Linked DNA regions of Arabidopsis thaliana. The protein of the gene in region 1 interacts with the protein of each later gene in a pairwise test. Each region holds a gene or a part of one and is shown on either strand. Other genes may lie near its edges.

Evidence for each region.
Region 2: the proteins of GCR1 (region 1) and AT1G57550 interact in a protein complementation assay, tested with the Arabidopsis thaliana proteins (one large-scale study listed by BioGRID).
Region 3: the proteins of GCR1 (region 1) and MLO2 interact in a protein complementation assay, tested with the Arabidopsis thaliana proteins (one large-scale study listed by BioGRID).

What each region holds. Positions count from the first base shown.
Region 1 is NC_003070.9:17,828,702-17,832,464, forward strand, and holds the start of GCR1 (G-protein-coupled receptor 1), read right to left. Parts: upstream 1,720-3,763; 5' UTR 1,514-1,719; coding exon 1,331-1,513; intron 1,137-1,330; coding exon 1,105-1,136; intron 1,021-1,104; coding exon 851-1,020; intron 722-850; coding exon 627-721; intron 479-626; coding exon 377-478; intron 275-376; coding exon 218-274; intron 132-217; coding exon 1-131. UniProt on the Arabidopsis thaliana protein: Together with GPA1, may regulate the cell cycle via a signaling cascade that uses phosphatidylinositol-specific phospholipase C (PI-PLC) as an effector and inositol 1,4,5-trisphosphate(IP(3)) as a second messenger.
Region 2 is NC_003070.9:21,311,699-21,315,024, reverse strand, and holds AT1G57550 (Low temperature and salt responsive protein family), read left to right. Parts: upstream 1-2,105; 5' UTR 2,106-2,215; coding exon 2,216-2,290; intron 2,291-2,400; coding exon 2,401-2,484; 3' UTR 2,485-2,768; downstream 2,769-3,326.
Region 3 is NC_003070.9:3,802,594-3,806,356, reverse strand, and holds the start of MLO2 (Seven transmembrane MLO family protein), read left to right. Parts: upstream 1-2,123; 5' UTR 2,124-2,486; coding exon 2,487-2,609; intron 2,610-2,661; exon of another isoform or gene 2,662-2,797; coding exon 2,798-2,855; intron 2,856-2,970; coding exon 2,971-3,236; intron 3,237-3,329; coding exon 3,330-3,446; intron 3,447-3,539; coding exon 3,540-3,600; intron 3,601-3,670; coding exon 3,671-3,763.

The DNA.
Region 1 (3,763 bases):
GTCCCAACGTCAAGAACTGAGAGCCAGAAGATCTTATGCCCTGGCTCGATGAAATCATGGATACGGTTAATAGTGCCGAATGCCCATGATCCTATTAGAATGAGTGGATAGTATCCCCATCTGTTCAACACCTGTGGTTTCAGGAAACAAGCAGTGAGGTTTTAATGATGAAATCCAGCCACATGATACAGAACTAGTATTGGCAATAAAGACAGACCTTTAACTCTGCTCTATTATCAAATTGATCGACTCGGTCTGACATTCCAACTGCCATCTGAAATTAACATTGCCATTTCAGCACACAGCCAAGTGTATCAGTAACGTTTGTGAACTACTTTCAGAAGACAATGTTATTAGAGATGAGAGAGTTACATACACGTCTAGCATTTCTTAGCATCCGTATCACTTGGAAGTAAGTAAACCCATTGTAAAGAATGGCTCCCCAAAGAGGAGCGTAGAAAGTTAAAAAATGAACAGCCTGCAAAATTCAAGAGGTGATATGAGTTCCAGTAACGAAGAATAAAATACTAGTCTACATTCATCTGGCCCAGCGTTGCAACAAAAAAGTTCAAATGCCTTTTGATAGGCATTGAAATCTTTATGCTCAACTAAGCATTCTCACTTGCCTTTCCCTTAAGACCAGTTTGCGTCCAGCACCATGGCCCCAAATGTGAGTGGTTGTTACCAAAAGAACGTATGACAGTCACAACCAAGGAAGTCCCTGAGAAAAGTAACTAAAATCAGAGTCTTACTAAATCACCAAAGAAGATACTAACACATTCTAATCCTTAACCCTAGGTGGATATAGTAACAATTGAGAACCGAAACCCACGAGTATCATTTTACATACCCCATACATACAAATGAAACATTGCTTCCAAATCCTCCACATCAGTTTTATGCTTGACAACAGTACGATGAAGAGTGAAAGCAATTGTAGTTGTCCACAAGAACGAAGCAACGCAGAAGAAATGAGTAGTGTAGCCTTGTGCGTAACAAATGAACCCCTTTGAAGGATCCCTACAGTGATCAAGATGTAACAATCATCTTATCAAAATAATCTCAACAAGATTCACCAGAACCAATAGTAGTAGATAAACATACCCAACGATTAGGAAGAAACTGCAAAGCATATCCTGCAACAATTAAAAACATTGCCATTAGTCAGCAATAGAGCTCGAACCCTCACTACTCATCTCAGAACGCAATGGAACTTAACGTCTTAGCGATGTAACAATTCACAGTGAGAATAATCGAAGAAGAAGGAAGCAAAACAGTACATAATCCTAGATCTAGCACAATCAGCGAAAGGCAACAACGGGAAACTTACAGAGAGAGCAAGGTAGAAGACGAGCTTGAAAGAGAATTTTCGAAGTTCTTTGAAGAGGCAGTAGCAGAGAACGATGAAGGCTGAGCCGACGAATGAGAGACTCGAAGCGCCGGTGTTAATCGCCGTAATAATGCTGCGATCCCCGGCAGTTAAGCCTCCGCCGGCTGTGAGAACCGCCGACATTGTTATATGTGATTCCAAAACTGATCTGAGAGATTGAATTGACGATTTCCGCTGTTCGTGTTCGTCGTTTCCGTCGCGTGGTATCTTCCCCGACGGACGTTGCGTGGTGGGCTAACCTCTTACCCGGGTCGGATCGGTCGGGTCAAGTCGTGTCTTTTGAACCGGACTCCTCGTAGTGCACTTCTTTAGGCCCAGCCCAATGATTTTGTTAAGCATTAATTCATATATGCTATATTAATTATTAAAAACATTTATATGATGTTATTTACATGTCAAGTTATCACATATTTTTGGAAAATTTTAATTTTATACATGTATGAATATTTAAATTATACTAGGTAATAACTTATGTTATGCACATGTAAATATTATACTATTTAATTTTATAATTAATCTTATTTATAGTATACTCTATATAAAAATAAATATATATATATATATATATATATATAATATTATAACAAATTATGTATACTATTGTTTTTAAATAAATTATCTACACGACTATACTATCAATCACCGAGCACAAAAATACCTAGGCATGGCCTTCTGACCCGTTTTGCCCCTTTCAAGTAAATGAATTTTGGACTTGTTATAACATATAAAATATGATTATTTGCTAAATAACTTGATTTGGCTTATTACTTGCTAAATAATTTGATATTGCTTGTTACTTGTAAAATAATTGCAACTTGAATCGAAAAAAAATCTCATATACAATAGAAATTACAAAACATTCAAAGTTTCAAGCATCCTAAGCACAAAACATTCAAATAAAAATAAGTTATATATAAGCAAGTAATATATATAACAAGCTTGTACTTGCAAGTCATAAATTTATACTATTTATTAGCTGATTATTAACGACAATTATTTGTTTTTCAAAACGAATATAAAACACGTACGTAAGAACTAATAATAAGCAAATAACGAGCATTGGCTAGGTTGTCAGAATGTTGAATAGAGGCGGCGAATAAGTCTAAGTGGCATTGCTATCTTGTTGAGTTAGTATAGAAGTCCACGATTGCTTTTACGTTTTTGCGTTAGTTCTCAGAGAAGTTGTAGACTTCTATCTTGAAGTTTTGTGGACGGATCTTGGATAGTTTTGCTCGTGGCAATTAAGATGATGATTCCAGTTCTTCGGTTTTGTGGCAACCACACAATTTTCTGAGCTTCGCGGGTTCGGAATCGGTGTTTCTTTTTGCAATTTGGCTTTGACCACTTAGTAGTGATCCTTTGCATCTTGAGTTGTAATGTTGTTTTTATATTTACGTAGATTGCTTTAATCTGTTTCTAGTTTTCTCTGTAATTCTATCACAAACTAAAAATAGTATAAAATTTCACCTTTTACCAAAAAAAATAACAAGTATTAGTACCCTAATTTACGATAGTTAATGGCTGTAAGGCTAAAACTACCAAGCGGAGAAGACCATAAAAATTATAAAACATAAAAATATAATATAATTAGGTTAATGATGGAGACATTCTTCCACACATTGACACATATTGCTTCTCGTGTCCTCACTCTTTGTATATATAAGTTCATGGATCTCCCTGATTATTATTTATGTATTGCTTTTGGTCGTAAACCCCGTGGCTAGACTTATCACAATTCGTAATATAATTTACGTATACATGTTATAATGACTGTTTATTATATATATTAAATGATTTTCGTGTGCTAATTTACCCAATGACATATCATCTACTAAATGGCAACAAACGTACAAAAACCAAACAGACGAATTTTGTCAATCCACACAAAATTACATAAATTTAATTAGTACAGCAATTACGAATTATCTTCATACATTGAAATTTTATGATGGCTTGTCTAAACATGTTAGTTACGTTGCAATATTATCCCGACCCGCTCAGACTGAGAATTACATAATAGCCTTTCTATAGTCAAATACAAATAGTTCATACACGAGGTGATTGTTAGTAATACATTATTGTGAAGTACTGAAATTTTTTAGCTAATATTACTTACAAAATTCCTGGATTAATTCATTATCATGTCCGAATATATTCTAAAAAAAAACTTCTTGATGACTTAATTAACAACGGATCAAAAAATTTATTCGTTAAACCATAAAATAAAAAAAATGGCAAATATATAAATAAACATTTACTATGAGTCTATGACATACTAAATCATTGATATTGGCATAAATAACTCTGGAAATGTTTACTTCAATTGAGAGGTATACGGAAAAATACTCTTCCTCTAGGAACATGACCCATCAT
Region 2 (3,326 bases), 3.5 Mb from region 1:
GTCAAAACTACTTTTAAATTTAAGTCTTTGCAATTTAACTAGTTGTGTATATAGGAAAAAAAAACACTACTTAATTGATACTGTAAACTGTTTTAATAATTGAAGATATCAAAATATTAGTGGATGTTATATTGGCCATTTTTTTTTTATATCCGCAAAGTTTGGAACCAAACTCCGTAGATTTTCATAAACCAAAGTGAGTGAATTCACCGCTTCACAAATGAAACTTAAACTAGAGGGCTCTAGGATGACCCTAGTTTATTTGCTACTAGACCGAGCAACACTTGATATTGAACTAAACTTGATAAAACAGAGATTTTGATACACTCAACATATACTTTTATGTTGAGTGTATCAAAATCTCTGTTTTAAGTTGGTGAAGCGTGTACCCGACAGTTTCATGTCCACATAGCTCAACATTGTTGTATTTATTGATTTATGTGGGCGTTTCAATAATCTGTGTAAATCCAAGATATCATTGTCGTAAAAAAAGGCGAGGGTCAGATTTGTATAGCGACACTCCCCGTGAAACAGTTGTGCAATTTTACATGTTTACATAGAATTCCAAGTATTTAAAGACCAACCCTTTGGCCGATATATGTATAATTGTACATAACTAAATTCTATAAAACGTAGACGATAAAATCATAATGTGGATTTTATGCATGTCGTTAAATGGTATGGTGTTATTTAACTTGTTCATATATGTTTTTTTATTAACGAGTTTACTTGATAAATGTTATTCACTTATTTCACGTAATATTACGGTTATTATACAAGTTTAACAATCACATGGAAATATGTACTATTTACGATTTTTTCATCGCATTTTTTGTCAAACAAAAAGGTAGAATTAAGTTATAAAAAAGCCCTACATATCAAAAAGTTATATTGCTGAAGACGAACGAATAGTTGCCATGCTTAACATGCATTGCATTGGAATGGTCAAATAGAGATGCTATGAATATATGAGCTGTCCTCTCAAGTCAATTGTTCAATAACTCGTTATATTATATGTAATTTATAAGCTAATCATCACTGTCCTTTTCGTTTGTCTTTGTCATAAGATTGACAGAACCAATAAAATCTGAGGACGATTAAATTAATATATAAAGAAACTAGAGATTTAATATTTTGAACTGAATAAAAGTTATATAGATTACATGAAGGATCGTTGTCATTATCACTACCACAAAACTTTAACATCATTCACCGACAAATGGAAAACATTAAGCTGTTCACTTAATTAACACGCATCTCATATATTATTTCCCTCGTATATATTAAACTTTATAGATGAGATTTAATTTCTTTCAACTACCTATGCAAAATTTATTTTATTTGATGTTTTGTGACAATTATATTAATCTTTGATAATTAGTTTTGGTTAAACTTTTTTTTTTATTATCCATTTTTGTCAACCACGTAATTAAATTAAAAAAATATATCTTAATAGATTATCTAATATGAAAGAACCGAGTTTACGAAATTTCATTTTTAAATTAGTTTTGACTAATGGGTCTCTAAGTTATTACACCCGACTAAATATGTGGAGTCGATAAGTGATAGCAAGTTAGATTTACTTGTTCTAAGCTAAACTAACAAATATAGATAAGTTAAGTAGATTAAAACTTACATAATTGAATATTTACATGTTTGGAAAAAAAACTTGAGTAAAAGAAAAAAAACTTGATAAAAATCACTAAAAATTATGTTTACACTTGAGTTAAAAGCAAACATTTTATCTACATAAGATGATACTAATACAAACTAATGGCCTATATATATTTGTAATCCATGAAATTTAATTTTATTTTTGTAACAGACATTATGATTGTAACATTTTAATTTCTTTGCCCAAAAACAAAACATTTTATTTTTAAGTTATTCGACTTCTTATTTGTGTTCATCCCATTTTTTTGTTTCCAACCGATGAACAACGGAAGGTTGCGTCAAAACGCAAAGGGTTGTGTTGTTTGTGTTGAAGTGGAGCTCCTTCATTTTAGGAACAAGCAGAGGACGTTACACAATCAAACTCAGTTTCTTCCCTTATTTAACGTAACCACTAATTCTATTTTCTTGTTCTTTTACAAAGTTCATAAATGGAAATGAACACGTAAGAAGAAATAAAACAAAGTTCAAAACTAAGAAACAGAAAAACAAAAAAAAACATAAAAAAACATATAAAAAAAACATAAAATTACAGAAGAAAAAAATGGGTAGCTTCCTTGAGGTTCTTTGTGCAATCTTCATACCTCCTGTTGGTGTGTTCCTCAGATATGGCCTTGGGGTAAATTTTTTTCATTCATAAATCATAAAAATATATGACACATTTGACATTAATGGTCAAAGTAAGATCAAATCTCTTGTTTTTTTGTTTCTTTGTATATGTGTTTGCAGTTGGAGTTTTGGGTCTGTTTGCTTCTAACGTTATTCGCTTTTATCCCCGGACTGATATATGCCATCTACGTTCTCACCAAGTAGGAATAACCAATCAAAAACACTGGATCCTTTTTTTATTTTATAACTTTTTCTTTTTCCAACAATGTTTGCTTTTTTAGATTTTTTATGTTGTATTTAAGGAATCAGTTTTGTAATCTAGCAAACTTTTTGCTATGTTAGATGTATGTAAATTCCAGCAGTTTCCAAATTGCTGTTGTTCTAGTTTGCAGAGGTTATGGATACATTTTACGGATCATAAACAGATTTGGAAGATTGATGATATTATTATATGCGTGATATAAATTTTGAATTGTAGTAATACTACATCTAAAGAGTGATCAAATTATTAGTACCATTAGGAACTATAAAGTTCTGATAGAGATATTACATGGAGTCATCGATACACACAGTTTACTTATGCGTATAACGATAAATATAAACCTGTGTACATACATTTATAATTTTATATAGCTTCTGCAATTCCGATTTGAAGATTGCTTGAATCGAATACCGTGTGGTATAGGCTCCCATGAAGACGTTCCCAATAATCCCTGCATATACAAATTCTTTACCTCAAAGTGGTAAGCAAAAAATGTAAACAAAATCTATTGAAATCGTCCCATCTTACCAAAGAGGATCAATTGGTATAGTCAATGCTCTCCCATAATGAAAAAAATTATGAGCTACTTGGTTACAACAACGATTCGAATGAGAAAAATATTATTTTCTAACCTTAAATATCCAAGATATCGGTGTAAATTCCGATAATAGATGCGTCTATTAATCCATTGTTAATGCTGTCAATTAAGGTTTTTTGCAATCCCCTCTAACTCTCTAAGTGTACCTCGGTGAAACCTCGAATCTACTTTACACTAACTTTTAAT
Region 3 (3,763 bases), about 14 Mb from region 1:
TAGCCCATTGGACAAAACGTTCATTGAGAAAAATACCATATAAGATACATTTTTTATGGATTATATGGAAATTAAGATGCATGAAAAGGAAATTAAGATGCCTCACATTATTTCCACCATCTAGTCATTTATGTCGTCTTAGATTCTTTTATAAATCATATTCATATGTGACTAACACGTCTTCACATTCTCATTTGATCATGTTGCTTAAAACAAATATCTCATCAACCACATAAGCAATAAATGTTTTTAGTTTTTGTTTGATTCAGTTCATTAATATATAATTACATGTCCATCTTAAGCGTTCCGTTAATTATCACATTTTTAAACTCTATGTGATTAGTTGCAGTTTGCAACTTGGTTTGTCAATTAACAATAATGTATAATTTACATATCTGTTTTTTTTGCGATTTTTTTTTTTTTTACATATATGTATGCCTCAGCATGCATTGTTATTTGTTGACTCTTTGAACTTAAGTTGTGTCCAATTGTGTCAGTCATAAATATGAACACGTGTTAAATATTATAGAGAAAGATTTGAGTTTTTACAATCTTATAATCCACTCTCCATAGTTTATATATGTACATGCACGATCAGTTTTAACTAATAATCATAAACATATATGTACATGTACAATCAATCTCATATGCAATCAAAGTAAATATAAATTAAAAAAAATGTATATATGGATCTCGTTTAGTTTAAATTCTAAACGTATATTGTCGAAGGAGAAAAACTATAATTTTGTTTGTGTATATTGATTGATTCTTCAGTAATTTCTTCAACTATTCTGATATATATATATATATATATATATATATATATCTACTTGCAATCATAGTTTAAAGATGTTATTTCTGTTAGATGTTTAATCTTGTTTTTTTCTGTCAGTAGTCTTTAATCACGTGCCAAGTAAGCAAAACACTCTCATTATTTTAAAGAATGTTGATTAAATAAACATTCGATGGGCGATGGCTATTGGAAACTGGAAAGTCAGCTAAATACAACAATTTTCCACTTAACATTCTAATTATCTAACTATTAATTATTAATCATTGCTGCATGCCTCTGTTCAACTGTACAGGCTGTTTTCGAATATTTTGTAGAGTACAACTTATCAAAAAATCCCAAACTCTTTTATCTGACAATAATATTTTAAGATATAAGAAATAGTCATAGTATCATATTTTTCAAACTATACAATTTTTATAATTTCATTAAAAGGCAAAATAAAAACCAGGTTACGTAATTAATTTAATAGTCAAATGTTTGCTACAATAATATATTTACAATTCTAGTTACATCTAAGTGTAATAAAATTACAATTCCATTATAGATAGTATAATGGATGATAAAACTTTTGTACAGTTGATAGTAAGAAAATTTAATAAAATATAGGATATTAACAAGAAAAAAAAAACAAAAAAAAAAAAACACGTTAATGGGTAAACTTCGAAACTGAAATTTTTGTAGAAAAAAACAATCACATCATCAATGTATCTTTCAAAATAATGTTTTGACAACTTATCAGTCACTTTTAATTGGGTGTGTTAGAAATAGAGGTACAGTTTAAAGTTTTTATTAGGTTTTGGGTGGTAAGGTGTGTTAGAAATCAGTTTATTTTTTAATCAGTCATTGGTGGTGGTGGAAAATATCATTTTCAAATTTCAAGTAGCAATTATGGGTGAAATTTCTTGTATAAATTTCAAGTAGCAATTAATATATCTTTTTTTATATATAGAAAATTTACATTTTGGTAAAAATTTAAATTAAAAAAAGGAGCATGGTTATATCTTGAATCTTGGTATCTACGAGCATATTATTTAGATATAACAAACAAGTTGGGAATAGACAAAACAAAATGACGAACTTTCCAACGAAAGATCCCATTATAGTAATGTTATTCTTATTTATACTTATACAATCTCTAGTGGCTTCCAAAGTACACAAAATGGGAGTATTATACCAACAAAAATAAACGACTAATGAATCAAAAAATTCAAAATTTGCTTTATTTTATTCTGAAAATCTAACGAGCTGAAACCAAAATGTTATAGATTTAAAATAGAAACAAAACACCGATGATTGACCCAATAAAAAGCAAAATAAAGTAGACCAAAAAGAATAATGGTTATGCTGATAATTGAGGAGTCGTCGTCACTCGTCACATGAGAGGAACAACAAGAAAAGTCAAAACGTTGAAGCTTTCTCGAATAACGCCTTCTTTAGTTTACAGTCTCTCGTTGCGGGTCTTATCTTCTTCTTCTTCTTCCCTCTTTCGTCTGCTCTATATTATGACCAGATTCAAAATTGCGTAGCGTACTAATTCAATATAGAGAGAAGTTAGATCAAAAGAAGAACACGAAACTCTGACTGTGTCTCTCTTTCTCTTCGTGTGTTTCTATATTTATATATAAAAAGACAAGATCTCTGGTCTGGAATTAGAAGAATCTTATTTGGGGTTTTTTCTTAGGATTAAGCTCTAATGGCAGATCAAGTAAAAGAGCGGACTTTAGAGGAGACCTCTACGTGGGCAGTTGCTGTTGTTTGCTTTGTCTTACTCTTTATTTCGATTGTCCTCGAACATTCTATTCACAAAATTGGAACCGTAAGTCTCTTTATATTTCTCCTTATTTCAAGATTCCCCTGTTTCTTGCTCTGCTTTCTGCTCTGTTTCTTTAATTACTGCTCTGTTTTTTTGGATTTGTTTAGTTCTTCTCCTATCACTATCAACACTACTAAATCTGTGAGAATAACGAAAATATCTGATCATTCCTTTTTTTGTGCCTTAAACAGTGGTTTAAAAAGAAGCACAAGCAGGCTCTTTTTGAAGCTCTTGAAAAGGTCAAAGCAGGTAACTATCTTTTTCTACTTAACTTGATCCATTATCAACAAGCTTCTTATCTTTTTCTACTTAACTTCATCCATTAACAAGCTCCTGATTTTGTTTTCTACGTAACTTCATTCAGAGCTTATGCTGTTGGGATTCATATCACTACTACTCACAATTGGACAAACACCAATCTCAAATATCTGCATCTCCCAGAAAGTTGCGTCAACAATGCACCCTTGCAGTGCTGCTGAAGAAGCTAAAAAATACGGCAAGAAAGACGCCGGAAAGAAAGATGATGGAGATGGAGATAAACCCGGTCGAAGACTTCTTCTTGAGTTAGCTGAATCTTATATCCATAGAAGAAGTTTAGCCACCAAAGGCTATGACAAATGTGCAGAGAAGGTAACTAATAATCTCCCTTCTCTCTCTATATAAAAATCATTCTCTGCTTGTTAAACCGATGGAATTTTGATTTCTATTGATGGATTTACTCAGGGGAAAGTGGCTTTTGTATCTGCTTATGGAATCCACCAGCTGCATATATTCATCTTCGTGCTCGCGGTTGTTCATGTTGTTTACTGCATTGTTACTTATGCTTTCGGAAAGATCAAGGTAACTAACATTTCTTGTGACTTACGCAGTTGTTAAGGCGAGAAAAAGAGTGTATGCAAAAGATTTTTATACTTGTTTTCTTGAGTATTGCAGATGAGGACGTGGAAGTCGTGGGAGGAAGAGACAAAGACAATAGAGTATCAGTATTCCAACGGTATGTAAATATGTGAGTATTCGACGAAACTTAAAGACCTGAATGGGAATGAATTAGTCTTGTTATGCAGATCCTGAGAGGTTCAGGTTTGCGAGGGACACATCTTTTGGGAGAAGACATCTCAATTTCTGGAGCAAGACGAGAGTCACACTATGGATTGTTT